Linked DNA regions of Oryctolagus cuniculus. The protein of the gene in region 1 interacts with the protein of each later gene in a pairwise test. Links are inferred from orthologs where the notes say so. Each region holds a gene or a part of one and is shown in the gene's direction. Other genes may lie near its edges.

The links.
Region 2: the proteins of PRKG1 (region 1) and FAM124A interact in binary tests that used the Homo sapiens proteins (3 or more experiments, as listed by UniProt). The two-hybrid records come from large-scale screens. The link is inferred for Oryctolagus cuniculus from reciprocal best matches to the Homo sapiens genes PRKG1 and FAM124A.
Region 3: the proteins of PRKG1 (region 1) and ZNF646 interact in binary tests that used the Homo sapiens proteins (3 or more experiments, as listed by UniProt). The two-hybrid records come from large-scale screens. The link is inferred for Oryctolagus cuniculus from reciprocal best matches to the Homo sapiens genes PRKG1 and ZNF646.
Region 4: the proteins of PRKG1 (region 1) and IRAG1 interact in a two-hybrid assay, tested with the Homo sapiens proteins (2 studies listed by BioGRID). The link is inferred for Oryctolagus cuniculus from reciprocal best matches to the Homo sapiens genes PRKG1 and IRAG1.

What each region holds. Positions count from the first base shown.
Region 1 is NC_091446.1:45,324,227-45,329,338, forward strand, and holds part of PRKG1 (cGMP-dependent protein kinase 1), read left to right. Parts: intron 1-1,211; coding exon 1,212-1,353; intron 1,354-2,882; coding exon 2,883-3,046; intron 3,047-5,112. UniProt on the Homo sapiens protein: Serine/threonine protein kinase that acts as a key mediator of the nitric oxide (NO)/cGMP signaling pathway. GMP binding activates PRKG1, which phosphorylates serines and threonines on many cellular proteins.
Region 2 is NC_091440.1:70,607,594-70,612,705, forward strand, and holds part of FAM124A (protein FAM124A), read left to right. Parts: intron 1-2,556; coding exon 2,557-3,290; intron 3,291-3,531; coding exon of another isoform or gene 3,532-3,614; intron 3,615-5,112.
Region 3 is NC_091450.1:6,095,270-6,100,131, reverse strand, and holds part of ZNF646 (zinc finger protein 646), read left to right. Parts: intron 1-53; 5' UTR 54-135; coding exon 136-4,862. UniProt on the Homo sapiens protein: May be involved in transcriptional regulation.
Region 4 is NC_091432.1:55,529,934-55,535,045, forward strand, and holds part of IRAG1 (inositol 1,4,5-triphosphate receptor associated 1), read left to right. Parts: intron 1-4,517; coding exon 4,518-4,684; intron 4,685-5,112.

The sequences.
Region 1 (5,112 bases):
TGCTGGTTCACTCCCCAGTTAGCTGTAATGGCCAGGGCCAGGCTGAAACCAGGGTCTGGAACACTGTCTGGTTCTTCCAATGTGGGTTGCAGAGGCCTAAGAACTCAGGCCATGTTCGGGTACTTATCCAGATGCACTAGCAGGGATTTGGATCAAAAATGGATCAGTTGGAATGCAAACTGGTGCTCAAATAGGATGCTGGCACCTGAGGGGGTAGCTTAACCTGCTACCCTAGAATGTTGGCCTCAAACACAGTATATCTTAAGGAGTTCTATGAAAAACAAAAGCATTTAAAGCATAAAGGTCCTTCCTTAGCACTGAATGTTATCTCCTTTGTTCTAAGATTTATTTCACTAGTTCAGTCAATAATATGTACACTTGTATACACATATACCAAATATTAAAAAGTTGATGAAAAAAATTGAGATAAGTTTATTTTAGAGCCGAAGTATTTTGAAGTCATACTTTTTTCATAATATTCGTTTTCCATGAACTTTTTAAAGTATGCGGTATATATGAGTACATAATTATAGAGATGAGACAGCACTTTTTTGCTAAACAACATTGTCAGTTTTACTAATAAAGTGTCTCTTCCAGTTACCTTTTCTCTCTAATTGTTTTTCAGTGTCAGCCTTTTCTACTAATAAGAAGGCAGTAGTGCAGGAACTAGATCCGGTTGATCTGGATAACAGAAGTTTGAAAACAGGATTGCAATGTAGCTTGCAACACGACTGCATGGGTGGCGTGACAGCTGATTTCCAAGGGGACTCTTGGCAAACATGAGCTTTCCCTCCCTTTCTTATGAGTAATATTTGCGTCAGATTCAAAAACAAGCCTCCCGCCAGTCAGTGTGAATCAAATCATAATCTCCAACTCTGAAAAAAGATGGCCTCTCCTGCCCCTGATGTAACTCTGCCTTTCTAGATTGTAGTGGCTGCTGAGAGGAAGCCCCTAAGTCCACGGGTTGCATTCCTCTGCAGCCCTCTGAGAAGTTAGATTTACTACACCACTCAGAAGCGTAGAGAATTCATTGATTCGATCCTTGGATGCTTTATAATCCAAATTTGATGGTAATCATGTGGCATTCAGTCAGTAGGGCATTGGCCACTGGGTTAAATTTTGGCTCAGGAATGTATTTAAATGAGAAAAAAAATACCTTATTAGGGAAAGCAATGTCTCATGGACTTTTCATTCTATTTTCTATCTTTCAGAGGTTCATTTGAAGATTCTACAACCAGATTTTACACAGCATGTGTGGTAGAAGCTTTTGCCTATCTGCATTCCAAAGGAATCATTTATCGGGACCTCAAGCCAGAAAATCTCATCCTAGATCACCGAGGTTATGCTAAATTGGTCAGTGCATTTCACACATGGTTTCACACATACTTGTTCATACAGCTGTGTTTATTTGCTACCATTAACATTTGTTTTCCTTTTCAAAAAGCGGGTCCTGGAATTTTAGTTTAACTAAATATTCTTTCAAATTATGCAAAAGTGAAAAAAATCAACACCCTGAGCAAAACATGCTTTCAGGTACGCACTGGGAAACACATTTGCAGCAGGTGTTCACAGACCTGCAAGAGCTTCCCAGAGTCCTCCTTTCTAATCAGACTTCTACCATCCAAGGACAATAGATATTCTGTTATGGGAAACTGAAGCATTTTAATATTTAAGAATAGCACTAATGGAGAAAAAAATGAGCTCTATAGCTCATTTAAAAATAGCTAAAAATAGCTTTATAATAATATATAATCCAGGCTATGATGATGATGGTAACTGATGAAAAGCTCTAAAGATTTACTGTAGAAAGGAAGTTCTCTTCCTTAAAAATGGACAACTTTCGTGGACTTTGGATCTGAAATGCCTTCTTCTATTTTTAAACTTTGGGAATTTTAATCCAGAGTTGGGTTCTTATTTATTATTATTATTATGACAGGCAGAGTTAGACAGTGAGAGAGAGAGACAGAGAGAAAGGTGTTCCTTCCGTTGGTTCACCCCCCCAAGTGGCTGCTATGGCTGGTGCGCTACGCCGATTGGAATCCCGGAGCCAGGTGCCTCTCCTGGTCTCCCATGTGGGTGCAGGGCCCAAGCACTTGGGCCATCCTCCACTGCACTCCCGGGCCACAGCAGAGAGCTAGACTGCAAGAGGAGCAACCAGGACAGAATCTGGCGCCCCAACTGGGACTAGAACCCGAGGTGCCGGCGCCACAGGTGGAGGATTAGCCAAGTGAGCCGCGGCGCCAACCCAGAGTTGGGTTTTTAAAGAAATCAAATCAATGGCAGTAAACTGTAGACTCCCTCCAATCTTTTAAGGAAAAAAATAGATTGTCTGCATTTGAGGCCCCTCTCTCAACAGGTTTCCAGAAAAATGAAGGATGTATTTTCATTTTATCTCTGTGTATGTTTGCCAAGGGCAGTATTTTTGGTATAGTAGCTATGTCACTCACCTCCTTCAACAATCCAGTTGGCTCTCAAATACTTAATACAAAATGAATTATCAACTTCATCAAGTCCAGAAGAAATCATGTGTATTTAGGGAAGATGCTAAAAAGGCCTAAATTATAATTTTTAGTAAAGACAAAATGCTTTGATTATTCCACAACCTCTGTTGTCATACAGAAGAGAAAAATAAGTATTTCCAGAAACAAAAGGTCGCCTTTATTTTAATGATGTGAATTATACCCAGTTCTTAAGTTTAAGCTTTTCCCACTGAGGACGTTTGTTTGTTTGGGATGTAGATGATTCTGTTTGAAGATTATAATGACTTGCACTTGTTTTGATTTTTTTTTTTTAAGTATCATCAGTGTCCTTCAGTAAAATAACTTATTGTTTTACATCTTAATCATAAATGGCTTAAGTAGCTTGTTTTCTTCCTTTGTAAGGTTGATTTTGGCTTTGCAAAGAAAATAGGATTTGGAAAGAAAACATGGACTTTCTGTGGGACTCCAGAGTATGTGGCTCCAGAGATCATCCTGAATAAAGGCCATGACATTTCAGCCGACTACTGGTCACTGGGAATCCTGATGTATGAACTTCTGACTGGCAGGTATGGACACTCACAGCAAACTTCTAAGACAAGCAGACCACAAAAAACTGCAACACACACTGCTTTTAGTCTGATAAACTCATCTTAAACTTTTTTTTTTTTTTATTGACAGGCAGAGTGGACAGTGAGAGAGAGAGACAGAGAGAAAGGTCTTCCTTTGCTGTTGGTTCACCCTCCAATGGCCGCCGCGGCCAGCGCACTGCTGCCGGCGCACCACACTGATCCGAAGCCAGGAGCCAGGTACTTATCCTGGTCTCCCATGGGGTGCAGAGCCCAAGCACTTGGGCCATCCTCCACTGCACTCCCGGGCCACAGCAGAGAGCTGGCCTGGAAGAGGGGCAACCGGGACAGAATCTGGCGCCCTGACCGGGACTAGAACCCGGTGTGCTGGTGCCACAAGGCGGAGGATTAGCCTATTGAGCCGCGGCGCCGGCCTCATCTTAAACTTTATTTCACCAGGTTTCAGTAACATACTTCCACTAAACAAGCTTTAAAATTGGCCAAATGAGAGGCGGCTCACTAGGCTAATCCTCCGCCTTGCGGCGCCGGCACACCGGGTTCTAGTCCCAGTCGGGGCGCCGGATTCTGTCCCGGTTGCCCCTCTTCCAGGCCAGCTTTCTGCTGTGGCCAGGGAGTGCAGTGGAGGATGGCCCAGGTGCTTGGGCCCTGCACCCCATGGGAGACCAGGAGAAGCACCTGGCTCCTGGCTTCAGACCAGCGAGGTGCGCCGGCCACAGCGGCCATTGGAGGGTGAACCAACAGCAAAGGAAGACCTTTCTCTCTGTCTGTCTCTCTCACTGTCCACTCTGCCTGTCAAAAAAAAAAAAAAAAAAAAAAATTGGCCAAGTGAGGGCAATCAATGAAACATCAGTTTTTGGTCTTATTGCTATTCATTATACATATGTGATTGTGAAAGACCCAATGTCTACCTTTGAGGTATTTGGGTCTAGTCATTTAGCCAGCAATGTAAGTGGTAGCTAAATAAAATATCTAGGATCAACTTTATATAGAAGAGGACCTGTCAACAATTGTTAGGTCTAAATGAAATGTGAATGCTTTGCACATTTTTTGTCTGATATTACAATCAGCAACAACTACAAAAGACAGTAGATAAACCACAAAGTATAATACCACCACAGGCTTTTGAAGGACCAATATTTAGAGGAAAATTAATATATCACCATCACATATGCTGAGGACAGGAATAATATGATTAGGATGATCTATGGAGTTTAGGAGAGGGCTAGGTTTGTCCAGGGAGGCTTTTGAGGAAGATAAGCCTGCAGCTAGTCCTAAAATCAAGGTATAGAAAGAAAAGGAAAGGGCATTCCTGAGAGGCCCGGCTTAAAGCGATAGATAGTGAGCACAGGCATGGAGAAGGTGTGTGTAGAAAATAATGGGAGATTACGAGAGCCCCATTTCATGGATCATCACTGCTTGTGCCTGAGGGTCTGGATTCCAACTAGAGAGGGAACTAGTGAAATTTTCAGATAATGGAATGAGTGATGTGTATTCCAGCTTTTTTTAAAAAAAATATTGCAAGTTATATATAGAGAAAATTGGAAGAGGGTTGGGAAGGCCAATTTGAAGATCATTCCAACAATTTAGGTCTAGGAGGCAGAGAGCATACAACAGGGTAAAGGGTAGTGGAAAGGAAGGGGTAGGTTTTAATGAAGATGACTTGGTTGCGATGGTAAAACTGAGAGGAGTAATGTATAAAACACTTATACTAGTACCACTACCCCTGCTAAAAGCAGTTTTGCTTGTAAAAATGCCCATACATGGAAATTCAGTAGTACATCTGAAATGTTGATGTGAACTTCAAATAAATTATCTATGATCTAGCCCAATTTTGTTGAATATTCTCCTATACAGAGGAAATTGTTTTAAATGTTTTACAGATTAAGTGGGCATACAAATATTTGGAAGATTTGCAGAATAGAAAAAGTAAAATTTAGCATACATCCATATTTTGATGGATGGAAAGACAGTAATATTTATAATTGGTTTTTATGGCACACTGAAAAGACTTAACTAAGGAAATTAAATTTTAACTATTAATAACC
Region 2 (5,112 bases), on another chromosome or scaffold:
GCCAGGTGCCTCTTCCTGGTCTCCCATGCAGGTACAGGGGCCCAAGTACTTGGGCCATCCTTCACTGCCTTCCCAGGCCACAGCAGAGAACTGGACTGGAAGAGGGGCAACCGGGACTAGAACCAGCGCCCATATGGGATGCCGGCACCACAGGCGGAGGATTAACCAAGTGAACCATGGCACCAGCCCTTCATACTGACTTGAGAATCTAGCCTCTGCCCCAAGTCTGTTGCATTTCTTATAGGCATAGATCATATTGAATTTTAATTCTTTAATGTTTGCTTATACATTTCTGTCTACTTGAAAGTCCGAGGGAGAGATCTTTCATCCACTGGTTCACTTCCCAAATGTCCACAACAGTCAGGCCTGGACTAGGCTGAAGCCAGGAGCCAGGAATTCTAGCCAGGTCTCCTGTCAGGTGGCAGAGGCCCAAGCACTTCAGCCATCATCTGCTGCCAGGCAGGTGCATTAGCAGGAAGCTAGACCAGAAACAGAGTAGCTGGGACATAAACCACCATGAAGCAGCCCAAACTGCAACACCACAGTGCCCACCCCTGATTTTAAATTTTTCTGCCTGTGTTCCCACCTAAATTGTGTAGGTCTCACCTGTGGCCACAGTTCTTTAGAGGGCTGCTGCCTGTGGCTGTGCAGGATGTACACTGCACAACTATAGAGGAACACTTCATACCAGAGTCGGTACAGACTCCCATAGTTCTCAGCGGTGCCGGCTTCCTTGCTTCCCTAGTACCTGGTACCTACTCACAGTGCCTGCTCCAGAAGTGTGCAAATGAGTGAATGAAAGAGAGAAGGTAACAACAAGTTGAAGTATTGCAGTGAGATGTCTGACAGTCAGAGCTGGGGTGAAAATTCAGACAGATTTTGACCCAACAAAATCGAAGCTGTGTTATTATAGGTGCACTTAGTGAAACTAGCCCATAAGCCCACCTGGCGTATCTTGCTTACCTACCATGAAGATTACCTTTCATCCTGTGAACTGAGGTCATGGTTTTCAAGCACATCACATTTCTCAGACATCACGGACCACATGGTCCTGCGGTGCCAGATACCCTTAGTGGACAATGTGAAGACAGGTCTAGATTCCAGACACCGCCCATCACAGTTAGCCTAAAGATGCCTTATTTTCCCTGAAGTGAGTCATATAATTTATACAAAGGCAAATAAAGCCATCTTCTTAAATGTTTTTATATTTTTTTCATCTACTTGAAAGGCAGAGCGAGAGAGACAGAGACAGCTAGGAAAGAAAAATCTTTCCATCTGCTTATTCACTCTCCAGGTGCCCAAAACATGCAGGGCTGGGCCAGAATGAAGCCAGGAGACCAGAACTACATCAGGTCTCCCTTGTGAGTGGCAGACACCCAAGCACGTGAGCCGTCATCTGCTGGGCCCCAGGGCACATTCCCAGGAAGCTGGATCAGAAGCACAGGAGCTGGGCCTCAAATTTCCCCTCTAGTATTGGATGCAGGCATCCTAAAGTGGTGGCCTAATGCCTGCCCCAAGCCATCTTTTAAAAAGAGCAAGCCTTTTACCAAGGATAGCTAATCAGTTAGAAATATGCCAGGGTGGCCAGCAAACTATGTCACCCATGGGAAGGTGTTGCCAAGGTAAACAGGAAGCTTGACACTTGCAGTCCAGTGCTTCCAGATACTCTGCCAGAGACCACAGGGCGGGGAACTGCCCCATTCAGGAAGGGTGGGCTTCCGGGTGGACATGAGCCAGGAAGTGGCCCAAAAGGCAGCCCCACGCGGGCAGTCATGGGCCTACCAAGCTTTCAAAACCGCACCCCAAAGCACAGCCCCATAAACTTCAACAGCAAGAACACTGCACTTGCGCCCACCAGGCTGTTGTCCCTGTGACTCCAGCAGCGAGATGATCATGCCAGGGAGGTACTATGGGCAGGACACCTTCCTAGGCTGGGCTTGAACTCTCAGCTGGAGTAGCTCCCAGGGAGCAAGCACAGGTCTCTCCATCCTGCACAGCAGGCCCCATGGGTCAGTGCCAGGCATATAGGAAGGAGCCCATAAGGGCTGGTTAAATGAATGAATAGAACAGCCCAGTGAACTAAGCAAAGCACAGGAGCGCAGTGGTACTGGGGGAGTTTGTAGGGAAATGCTGCAGTTCTTTCAGGAAATACTGAATGGCATGCAGGTGGCAGTGCAGCATATTTTCCAGTGGGCCCCTTACCCCTTTGAGACTTGACTTTCTGTCCTCTAGTAGATAAACAGGAAGTCAAATGTTCCCTACCCGGCTGCACCTGCTCAGATGCAGGACCAAGGTTTCCTAAAACTGAACAGCTTGGAAACCATTCCTAACCTTGGCCACTAGGGAGCTGCCCTAGTAGTTCTTGCACCTGACCTTGAAATCAGAAAATTACAGATCGTGGAGTCAGTTGTATTAGAATTTGGCTTCTCTCCCTGCCAAGGCCACACGTGTCATCTCTGAACACCTTAATGCAATAATCACAATTTCATTGGTTCATGCATCCATTCATTCTGTGTGTGTGTGTGTGTGTGTGTGTGTGTCTGTGTATGCTCCCAGGTGAGCTTTCGGTGGAGGAGGCACAAGACCCGTTCCTGGTTAGCATCCACATCATCGCGGACCCAGGGGAGTCGCGGCCCCTGCAGGAGGCCATTGACAAGGTCCTGGCCTGGATCCACCCGGACCTCCCGCTATTCCGGGTGTCAGAGCGGCGCTCTAGCGGGCGGCGGCGGAAGTCCCCCAGGGGCACGCAGCCGGCGCTGGCCGTGGTGCTGTTCCTGCAGGAAGAGTATGGCGAGGAGCAGATCTTGCAGTTGCACCGCACGCTGCGGCGGCCGCCCTGGCGCCACCACCACACGGAGCGCGTGCACGGCAGGTTCCTGCCCTACCTGCCTTGCAGCCAGGACTTCTTCACGCTGGCACCCGGGACTCCTCTGTGGGCGATCCGGCCCGTGCACTATGGCAAGGAGATCGTGCGCTTCACCATCTACTGTCGCCACGACAGCTACGCCGACAGCCTGCGCTTCTACGAGCTGATTCTCCGTCGGAGCCCCAGCCAGAGGAAAACCGACTTCTGCATCTTCCCCATCTTCTCCAACCTGGACCTGGACATCCAGTTCTCCCTGAAAAGGCTGCCCTGCGACCAGAACCCGGTCCCCACCGACTCCTCCGTGCTGGAGTTCCGAGTAAAGGACATGGGCGAGCTGGTGCCCCTCCTGCCCAACCCCTGCAGCCCCATCAGTGAGGGGCGCTGGCAGACGGAGGACCACGACGGGAACAAGATTCTTCTGCAGGTACCCCGGGGCGCGTGTTCATCCGTCCATCCCTCTGTTTGTCTGTCCGTTTGCCTTTGGGAGCCTAGAAGCCAGTAGGTTGGCTCTGCCAGCAACCTTCCCACTGGCTGCAGAGTGAGCCTTAGGACAAAGGGAAGATGGGGACTTCTGGGTGGCTCCCAGGCCAGGTCAAGCTGTCCACACCGCATCCACAACCCGGAGGGGCTTGAGAGGCCTTTCCAGCTGGTACTTTGCATTTCAGGTGTCCCTCGGCAAAGCCACGCCCAGTTCTCTTCTGTCACCCCTTGATGGAGCAGCGCAGACCCCAGGGCTCCTGGAGATTGAGTGAGCTTCTAACCCCCTGGGTCGAGTACTTATTAAGGGAGCTTTCCAGAATCTAGCCCCTCCCCGTAGGGAGTTGGCACCAGGTGTTCTTAGGACGCCCATGGGTTTGATGACTGGGAGCCAGTGCATGTTCTCCTCCTTCCCACACCGGCCTGTCCTGCCTCCCACCATTATATTCCTAGGCAGAAGGCTGGGCTCACTTGAAGAAGGAGCCAGTGAGGGAGGCATGGGGAAGGAGTGTGTGGATACATTATAAGGAAGCACACTGCCCCAGGTCTTCCACAGCTAGCACCTTGGCTTATTACCAGCCCTTCCCTCTCGTCTCCTTCCAGGGGTTGTCCCAGACTCATTAGAGATCACGAACTACTCTGTAGAATAGAATTGAACAGGTGGATGACAGGACCTCTCACCCCTGGCCCTACCTGAGACACGCCTTCCAGACCCACGCCTTCTGGAATTAACAGACAAATCCATTCCTTTTTTTTTTAATATTGTTTTTATTTAGTAAATATAAATTTCCAAAGTATAGTTTATGGATTACAAAGGCTTCCCACCCCCATAACTTCCCTCCCACTCGCACCCTCCCATCTCCCACTCCCTCTCCCATTCCATTCACATCAAGATTCATTTTCAATTATCTTTATATACAGAAGATCGATTTAGTATATATTAAGTAAAGATTTCATCAGTTTGCACCCACACAGAAACACAAAGTGTAAAATACTGTTTCAGTACTAGTTATAGCATTACTTCACATTGGACAACACATTAAGGACAGATCCCACATGAGAAATAAGTACACAGTGACTCCTGTTGTTGATTTAACAATTTGATACTCTTGTTTATGGCATCAGTAATCTCCCTAGGCTCTAGCCATGAGTTGCCAAGGCTATGGAAGCCTTTTGAGTTTGCCGACTTAGATCTTATTCCGACACGGTCCTAGTCAAAGTGGAAGTTCTCTCCTCCCTTCAGAGAAAGGTACCTCCTTCTTTGATGGCCCCATTCTTTCCACTGGGATCTCACTTGCAGAGATCTTTCATTTAGGTCTTCTTTTTTTTTCCCAGAGTGTCCTGGCTTTCCATGCATAACTACTCTCGTGGGCTCTTCAGCCATATCCGAATGCCTTAAGGGCTGATTCTGAGGCCAGAGTGCTATTTAGGACATCTGCCATTCTACGAGTCTGCTGTGTATCCCGCTTCCCATGTTGGTTCGTTCTCTCCCTTTTTGATTCTATCAGTTAGTATTAGCAGACACTAGTCTTGTTTGTGTGATCTCTTTGACTCTTAGACCTATCAGTGTGATCAATTGTGAACTGAAGTTGATCACTTGGACTAGTGAGATGGCATTGGTACATGCCACCTTGATGGGATTGTATTGGAATCCCCTGGCACGTTTCTAACTCCACCATTTGATTGAGCATGTCCCAAATTGTACCTCTCCTCCCTCTCTTATTCCCACTCTTATATTTAACAGGGATCACTTTTCAGTTAAAATTTAA
Region 3 (4,862 bases), on another chromosome or scaffold:
AGAGGGGAAGTTGATTGAGGCCTTCCTTGTTGACCACTGCCCCCTCTTCCTAGGCCTTGACTCCTCAAGCAGAGGAAAATGCTGCTGCCACCTGTCTGCTCCTCCTGAACCTTCTGGTTTTCACTCCGTTACCCCATGGAGGACACGCCCCTCTCATTCAGTTGCTCTGACTGTCAGCGCCATTTCCCTAGCCTCCCGGAACTGTCACGGCACCGAGAACTGCTTCATCCAGCTCCCGGCCAGGACAGTGAGGAGGCTGACAACATCCCCCGGCCCTACCGCTGTCAGCAGTGTGGGAGGGGCTACCGCCATCCCGGGAGCCTGGTCAACCACCGCCGGACCCATGAAACTGGCCTGTTCCCCTGTCCCACCTGTGGCAAGGACTTCACCAACCCCATGGCCCTCAAGAGCCACATGAGGACTCACGCTCCTGAGGGCCGCCGCAGGCGCAGGCCCCCCCGCCCCAGGGAAGCCGCTCCCCACCTCCAGCGTGAGGCAGTGTCTGCTGATTCCTGGGGCCAGGGGCTTGGCCCCGGGGAAGGCTGGGGAGACCAGGCCAAACACACTGAAGAGGCAGCTGACTCTGAGTCTGGACCCGACCCCAGGGCGCCTGCAGGCACTTGGGAAGATGCACCCGCCAGACAAAAAGAAAGCTGGGACAGCCAGCGGGATCCTGAGGAGGGCACAGAGGGCTGGAGGCCGACCACCAACTCCGCCCAAGCCCCACCTCTCCCCACCCCAGCCAGCAGCCTCCTTAGCAACTTGGAACAGTATCTGGCTGAGTCAGTAGTGAACTTCGCAGAGGGCCAGCTGCCTCCCCAGTCCCCTCCTGCGGAGGAGGAGCGGCGCTACAAGTGTGGTCAGTGTGGCAAGACCTACAAGCATGCCGGGAGCCTCACCAACCACCGCCAGAGCCATACCCTGGGCGTCTACCCTTGTAGCATCTGCTTCAAGGAGTTCTCTAACCTCATGGCTATGAAGAACCACTCCCGACTCCATGCCCAGTATCGGCCTTACCACTGTCCTCGCTGTCCTCGTGCCTTCCGGCTCCCCCAGGAGCTGCTGGAGCATCAGCAGTCCCATGAGGGCGAAAGGCAGGAGCAGCCATGGGAGGAGAAAGGGCCGCCCACCACAAACGGGCACACGGATGAGACCAGCCAGGCCCGGCTCCCTGGTACTCAGATGCTGAATGGCTCCGGGGAGCTGGACGAGAGTGGCCTGGAGGAGTACCGGCCTTTCCGCTGTGGGGACTGTGGCCGGACTTACCGCCACGCCGGGAGCCTCATCAACCATCGCAAGAGCCACCAAACAGGGGTCTACCCTTGCTCAGTCTGTTCTAAACAGCTGTTCAATGCCGCTGCCCTCAAAAACCATGTGCGTGCCCATCACAGGCCCCGACAAGGAATGGGGGAAGATGGGCAGCCATCAGTGCCGCCAGCTCCCCTGCTAGGAGCTGAGAGCACCCACAGAGAGGAAGAGGTCCCGCCCCCCACCCTGGATCATCGGCCCTATAAGTGCAATGAGTGCGGCCGGGCTTACCGGCACCGGGGGAGCCTGGTGAATCACCGGCACAGCCATCGGACAGGGGAGTACCAGTGTTCACTCTGTCCCCGCAAATACCCCAACCTCATGGCCCTGCGCAACCACGTGCGCGTGCATTGCAAAGCTGCTCGCCGAAGTGCAGACCCAAGGACTGAGAGTCCTCCCAGCCACCTTAAGGTAGAACCCCCTCATCCTGTGGTAGCAGATCAGGGGCGGGTGTGCACACCTGAGGAGGCGGCCTCTGGCCCCCTCCTAGCAGCAGATAGGACGGCAGCCCAGATGTGCAACATCTGCGGGATGCTCTTTGAAGACCCTAAGAGCCTGGAACATCACAGCCTGACCCATGGCCTCGGGGGAGGAGAGAACAGCAGGGCAGAGACCACAGCATCACCACCTCGGACGTTCGCCTGCCGAGACTGTGGAAAGAGCTACCGCCACTCAGGCAGCCTTATCAACCACCGGCAGACCCACCAGACGGGGGACTTCAGTTGTGAGGCCTGTGCCAAGCACTTCCACACCATGGCTGCCATGAAGAACCATTTGCGACGCCACAGTCGGCGGCGGAGCAGGCGGCATCGGAAGCAGGCAGGCAGTGCTGGTAGAGGAGATGCCAAACTCCCGTCAGGGGAGACCTGGGCCCAGGAGTTGGCAGATGACGAGGGCCTGCACGCTGCCCAAGAGCCTTCGGGAGAAAGCCTTGCTGGGGCTGGAGGCAACTTGGAAAGTGAAGGGGACCGTCTGCAGGCAGAACCTGCAGGGAAATGTGGGCTGGAAAGGGGTGAGCCCTGTTCACAGGGTGACAAAGAGAGCCAAGGCCCCGAGGGAGGACTGGAAGGGAGGGAGGCCTGTCACCTCAACAACTTGGCCATCCCAGGCGGTGGGGAATGCAACGAGACTCGCTTCTGTGATGGCCTTAGCACGGCGGATGGAGAGAGAGTGACCACTGGCCAGCCGGTGCCCTCTTCACACTGTGCCGAGGCTGCCGCTGGCTGGCAGGCCGAGGTCCCTCACACGTGTTCTGACTGTGGGCATTCTTTTCCCCATGCCACTGGCCTGCTGGACCACAGGCCCTGTCACCCACCAGGCATCTATCAGTGCTCCCTCTGCCCAAAGGAGTTTGACTCTCTGCCAGCCCTGCGCGGCCACTTCCAGAGCCACGGGCCAGGGGAGGTGGCCTCAGCACAGCCTTTCCTCTGCTGCCTCTGTGGCATGATCTTCCCTGGGCGGGCCGGCTATAGGCTTCACCAGCGCCAGGCCCACAACTCCTCCGGCACGACTGAGGGCTCAGAGGAGGAGGAGGGGGAGGAGGAAGGAGCCGCAGAAGCAACCTCTACCCATAGTCCTCCGCTGCAGGTCTCGGAGGCAGAGCTGCTGAATCAGCTGCAGCGCGAGGTGGAGGCGCTGGATGGAGCAGGCTACGGGCACATCTGTGGCTGCTGCGGTCAGACCTACGATGACCTGGGGAGCCTGGAACGCCACCACCAGAGTCAGAACTCTCAGAATACCGTGGAGAAGGTGCCCAGCCCCTTGAGAGCAGCCGGTGATGCTGTGGAGATGGTTACAGACCTTGTCTTTGAGGGCACGGAGACCTCTGTCTCTGGAGAGGGTCGAGATGCGAAGTCTGAGGAGGGAGTAGTTGGCACAGTTGCAGATGGCTCTGCTGGCGTGCAGGGCGGAGAAAGTCTGCCTGAGGCCCAGCCTCGCCCCTTCCGCTGCAACCAGTGCGGCAAAACCTATCGCCACGGGGGCAGCCTGGTGAACCACCGCAAGATCCACCAGACTGGAGACTTCAGCTGCCCCGTCTGCTCCCGCTGCTACCCCAACCTGGCCGCCTACCGGAATCACCTGCGGAACCACCCCCGCTGCAAAGGCTCTGAGCCCCAGGTGCGGCCCCTCCCGGAGGCAGGGGGCAGCACGGAGCCCCAGGTCGTGGCAGAGGAGGGGGCGGAGCAGGCGGAAGCCGGGAAGCTCCAGGAGGAGCTTAAGGCGGAGCCCCTGGCAGAGGCGACGCAGGTGAAGGAAGAGGCGTGGGAGGAGACGACGGTGAAGGAGGAGGTGGAGCCGAGGCTGGAGACAGCCGAGAAAGGCTGTCAGACTGAGGCCAGCTCTGAGCGGCCCTTCAGCTGTGAGGTGTGCGGCCGCTCCTACAAGCACGCCGGCAGCCTCATCAATCACCGGCAGAGCCACCAGACGGGCCACTTCGGCTGTCAGGCCTGCTCCAAGGGCTTCTCCAACCTCATGTCCCTCAAGAACCACAGGCGCATCCACGCCGACCCCCGGCGCTTCCGCTGCAGTGAGTGTGGGAAGGCCTTCCGCCTGCGGAAACAGCTGGCCAGCCACCAGCGGGTGCACGCCGAGCGGCGAGGCGGCGGGGGCGCCCGGAAGCTGGCTCGGGAAGATCGGCCCTTCCGGTGTGGGCAGTGCGGCCGGACCTACCGCCATGCCGGCAGCCTCCTGAACCATCGGCGCAGCCACGAGACAGGCCAGTACAGCTGCCCTGCCTGCCCCAAGACCTACTCCAACCGCATGGCTCTGAAGGACCATCAGAGGCTGCACTCTGAGAGTCGCCGGCGGCGGGCCGGTCGGGCCCGGCGGGCAGCTGTGCGCTGTGCCCTCTGTGGTCGCGGCTTCCCTGGCCGGGGATCTCTGGAGCGGCACCTGCGGGAGCATGAGCAACAGACCGAAGGAGAGCTGCCCACTGGCCCAGGAGGTCCAGATGGCTCCGCTGGCAGCAAGGGGAACCTGGCTGACAACCAGGGTCTGCAGGACAGATCGGGTGGGACTGAGTCAGGGCCGCGGCTGGAGGAGGTTGGAGCTGCAAGGCCTGGGGAGCTCAGTCAGAGCGCCATTCAGGCAGCGGGTCCAGAAGCCACAGAGCCACTGTCATGGGGCTCGGGGAAGGCAGATGGAGCCGGGGGCCTGGTGAATCACAAGGGAGGTTGGGTTCCTCCGGGTCAGGTGCCAACCAAGGCAGAAGACAAGTCAGAGGACGATGATCCCAGGAGTCCTTGCCACGTCGGTAATGGCCAGACCAATGGACCCAGTCTGAATCACACGGATGGCTGGGAGGATGGGGACGGCAGCTCCCAGCGCCAGCCAGAGTCTCCTCCTTCCTGCAGCCGGTGCGGCAAAGCCTACAGCCAGCCCGACGGCCTTTTGAACCACAGCCTCAATTGCCTGCATTGCTACAGGGAGTCCTTGAGTCCTGTGGCCACTAACCATCTAGCTGCCCAGACCTTTGCCTGCCCTGACTGTGACAAGGCCTTTCAGTACCATCATGACCTGGCCAACCACCTACAGACCCATGCCCAGGACCAGAG
Region 4 (5,112 bases), on another chromosome or scaffold:
AGAAGCAGCCTCTGGGAAAATGTCAGCCCTTCCTGCTCACCCGAGAATCCGCACAGTGGGAGCCTCTCGTCGCTCGCCCTTCCCTGGCTCTCCCACTTAGCCTGGCACCACCCCAGCCCTGCCTGCCACCTCCTCCGTCCTGCACCTGCCGCTTCATGCACGGCTTTCCCTTCTTGACTTCAGCCGCTGCTCTAGATTCTGTTCCACCGTGCGTCCTTAGACTCTTATTCCGTGTCCCAAGAGCCTCCTGTTTCTTCCTGGCCCCTTGGAGGTCCCCAGCCTCTCGGCTGCCTGCTGGCCCCCCACAGTGGAGTCCAGAGGATGAGTGATGGGGGACTCACTTAGAATCACTTAGAGCAAAGCCACTATTCATTTTACCACCAGCTGTGATCAGTGGGTGTTTGCGGGCCCTGTGGCACTTATCAGAGTATGCATTTTCTTTCTTTTTTTTTTGACAGGCAGAGTAGACAGTGAGAGAGAGAGACAGAGAGAAAGGTCTTCCTTTTGCCGTTGGTTCACCCTCCAATGGCGCACCGCGCTGATCCGATGGCAGGAGCCAGGTACTTATCCTGGTCTCCCATGGGGTGCAGGGCCCAAGCACTTGGGTCATCCTCCACTGCACTCCCGGGCCATAGCAGAGAGCTGGCCTGGAAGAGGGGCAACCGGGACAGAATCCGGCGCCCCGACCGGGACTAGAACCCGGTGTGCCAGCGCCACAAGGCGGAGGATTAGCCTAGTGAGCCACGGCGCCGGCCCAGAGTATGCATTTTCATCATCTCAGTTCATCAGTGTCCCCTTCATCTGAGACAGAGCAGGACTTTGCCCCCCGTACTGTGATGGGAACGGAGGAGTACGGCAGCCAGCTCGCCACCAGCCCCCGAAGTGATACTCTTGTGGAATGAGCATTGCTTAGGGAGAAGTTCCCTGGGCATCTCTCCCAGGAGGGGTCCTTGACAGAAAGACAAATATCTGTGTTCTTGGAGGGAATGGAGCCCTGGGACCATGAGACGGGTCCGCCAGTCTTGGTTCCAGCCACCAGCATCAGGCTGACTTCCTGTTACTCCACCTTGGCCAACCAAGTGAACAGTGAGCTCCAACTCACCAGTGAACTCCTCAACATTTCTGGTGGCCCAGGGTGGGGGTGCTCAGGACCCGGGTTAGGATGCCTGGGCCCCCAGTCAGAGAATCTGGGGGCCACCCTTGGCTCTGGCTCCTGACTCCAGCTTCCTGCTGACACAGACTCCAGGAAGCAGCAGCAGTCATGACTCAAGTCATTGTCTTCATGCTGCCCACGGGGCAGACCTGGATTCAGCTCCTAGATTCTAGCTTTGCCCACAGCCCAGCCCCAGCCGTTATGGACATTTGGAAAGTGAACTGGAAGATGAGAGTGCCCCCCCCATCCTCTTATCTGTCTTTCTCTGTCTCTCTACCTCTGCCTCCTACAGGGAAGACAGTTGCTTTAGTAACTGGGCCTCTTCCATCGCCTCACCAGTGTGAGTCATGGGGGCTCATGGGTGGACCTGCTATCAACATTTCTATGTATTTTGTTTGGGCAGCGAAGTTATCCGCACACCTAAGCTTCAGGGTCTCTGGTGCCAAAAACCGTGAAGACCAAACTCACTGGAGTGGCATTCAGGGACTTCCGGAAGCTGGCTCCACCTCTTGTTCTAATTTCTCATTTCTCCACTCTCACATGCTGCATAGTCCATGCTCCGGATCAAGCTGCACTGTGCATCTATAATTCCTAGTTATGCCTTTTTGCTAATGCTGTTCCTTTAGGCAAAAACCTTGGCACTCATGGCTCTGTCTAGCAGGCTGAGTTCATCTCTCCAGACCCAGCTCAAGTGCTCACTTTGTGGCTTCTCCACCTCCCCTACAGTTTCCTTCTCTCTCCTCTGAGCATTCATGCCTGCGATCCATCCCTTGCCACCTTATACCTGAGACTTATATTCCAAGCCCCAGTTCTCTGTATCTCTTGCTGGACTGTGAGTCCTAGAAGACCTTGTCTTTGTATCCCAAGCTGCTCCTCCGTGCATGGTGGGTAACTTAAAAAAATAGACAGACAGTGAAATGGTCATTTACTGAGCTCACCAGTGACAGGTGCTTTCCAACTTTGCTTTTCATCCTCACACTGCCTTGCTGAGTCAGATTTTATGATCACAGAGCCCAGAGAGGTTCAGTGACTCACCAAGGACACACAGCTAGCTGTGGCTGGGTGAGAATTTGAGCACAGGTCTGTCCAGCTCTCCCAATAGGCAATGCTGCCTCCTACTCCTCCTCCCCTGCTCAAGTCCACACCCAGGGCTCTGAGAGGTGGGAGATCCCGAGCTTCTCCCCTGACTGCAGCCACTCAGTTTCCTGTGCTAAGTGGGCCTGGGTGGGAACACAGGGCCCCAGGAGTGTCTTCTCAAGGGTTCGGCTTTGGGCTTCCAAAAAAAGCATCTGGTGCAGAGGCAGCACATGGTGTTCCCTGTTCCCTGGCTTGGCTCCCGTGGAGAGACGTCCCCCGAACACGGCCTTGTGTTTGGGCTCACGGGAGGGAAGTGTTAGTTTCACTAAAAACTGTGGGATTTAAGCAGTCCAGATGCACTGCCCAGCATCCATGTAACAAGAAGGTGCACTGTGCAAAGGAGAGAGGGCTTCCTCCCCATCCTGCCAGGGACCACCACCCATGACCTGAGGGCTCAGGAACACAGCTCAGTCCTGGCCCTGGGAGGGCTGTAGGCTGCTGGCTGCCGCCAGGCCATGGTTTCAGCGTGGGCCAGTTGAGGTCAGAATAGAACCAGGAATGGGTTCTCTTGGGACCACTGGCACCCACTGCCCCAGCAGTGGGAGGTGGCGGCCGTATGCTTGGGAGTGTGCGTTAGCAGACTGCTCTTTGGGGTGGGCGGCAGGGCAGCCGAGAGGGTCCTGGCAGCCATGGCAGCAGGTGCCGGCTGGCGAGGTGGGGAGGAAGAGGTCAATGGCAGACACTGTCTTAAGTTCACGAGTGGACATTTGATAGAACCCCCAGAGGGCCTCCCAGCCATACCTGGGAACAGTGTGCGATGAAAACACTGCCACAGGAGGTGACCAAAGAACCAGAGACATACTGCGCGTTGACAGTGATGCTATTGTCACACACACACACACACACACACACTGCCATCTGTTCAGGCCTGGGAGGACACCAGTTCAGGTGCATCCTTATGTATCTTACTGCTTTTATTTCATTCATTCATTTCTTCTCTCAACAAATACCTATTAGACCCGTGACAGAATTTTATCATCTACACAACCATCAGCAGCACCTGATGCAAATTACAAATTCACCACCCTAGGTTGAGGTATTTTGGCTCTTAGTTAACAATCATAAAATAATGCCTCAAGAATTCAAGGATTAGACAATAACTTTTGTTCTATCTTCAGAGTTATTTGTATGTGTTGAACATTTATTTATGTTTTTTACATTTTTACAAAGTAAGCAAAGTTAAACTGCATTCCACTACCCACTGAATAAATCCCCTTTACTGAAATGTCATCATCACCCAAAAGAGAGGACTGTCATTCATTATGCGGGTTGTGCGGGTGCCACATTTTCTGCTGGCCTCGGTTCCTCCCAGCCAGGTCAGTCACAGTCTGAGGACCCTGTGCCATTCGTTCCCTGCATGATCGGTGAGAATTAGTAAAGGAAGGCTTGTCGCGTCCCTAGTACCACATGAAAAGCGGGCTGTGTTAAGCTCAGCCAAATGCCTGCTGGACAATGAAGAAGTTGCCTACCATTTCTTCATTCTGAATGTCCCCCAAAACCCCACATTTGTGTGTTACAGCAGCCAAGCCATGGAAACAGCTGAAGTGTGTGTGAATGGATGAACACATAAGGAAGTGTGCTGCACACCCACACACATACACACACACACACAATGAAATGTAACACTACATCCATGTTGGTGCAACGCGGCTCATCCGTGTTGAGCCTAGAGGACGTTATGCTAAGTGGAATGTGGTGACACAGACAACTACTGCATGATCTCACTTTCATGTGGAATCCGGAAAAGTCAAATTCATAGGAAGAGGAGCCTGGTGGGCCCCAGGGATCAGGCAACAGGGCAAAGTGGGAGGCATGGATCCAAGGGAAAAGATCCATGCATTTCTAGATTGGTACGTTCTGGAGTGCTGACAGGCAGTGTGGTGGCTACAGTTACTAATAATGTGTGATGTACTTGAACTTGCTGAGTATCGTACACACGCACACACAGAGTAACCGTGTGAGGTGGTGGTGATATGCTAGTTAGCTTGATGGCAGTAGCTATCTCACAATGCACGTGTATGTTAAAACATCATGTTATATACCTTTAATATGCAGCATTTTTATTCATCAATTGGACGTCACTCCAGCTGGGGTGCAAACCTTGCTCCGGTCTCCTCACAGGACGGCCACGCATCTTCAGGATGCTAGGAGAAACACTTTAGCTTAACCCCAGGAAGACCCTACCTGCCCCCAGCCTAACACCGTCTGTGTTTTTGTTCTAAACCAGGGCCCTGCACCCGCAGAAATAGCTCACAGTCCACCCACAATCATCCTGACCGGAGATGTCAGTTCACCGGAAGGAGAAACCGACAAAAACCTGGCCAACAGGTACACGTCCCGGGTGCCTGATTCTTCTGCTGTGATGCACAGTATCTCCTACAATATGGGGATCAGGTTGTTCTGTTTTTTTAAATATTTTCTTCTTTCTTGTATCATTTTATTGGTGCAAATACAACCAAGCAGTTTGGGATTTTTACAGTAACTTTTTCCCCAAATGAGTTTCCCTCTCCTGCATCTGGCCCTTTGCACTCTGCGAGGCTGTTTGAAATTCACAGCCAGGAAGTTTCTGCTACAGACCAGGTATCTGCAGATGGTTGGCAAGATGTGAGTCTTTGACTGTGGGATCCTGCCCCTGGCTGAAGCAGGTTCCACGTGGAAGACGGTCTCCTAGGAGGGACGTGGGCTCGCATGCTCCGGGATGTCACTGCTTTGGTTTTACGTAGCACTAACCCATTCCTTCATCTGCCTCAGGGGTAGGGAATCTTTACTCCCAGAAGGGCCACTGGGCATTTATAGTATCATTCATGGGCCATACAAAATTA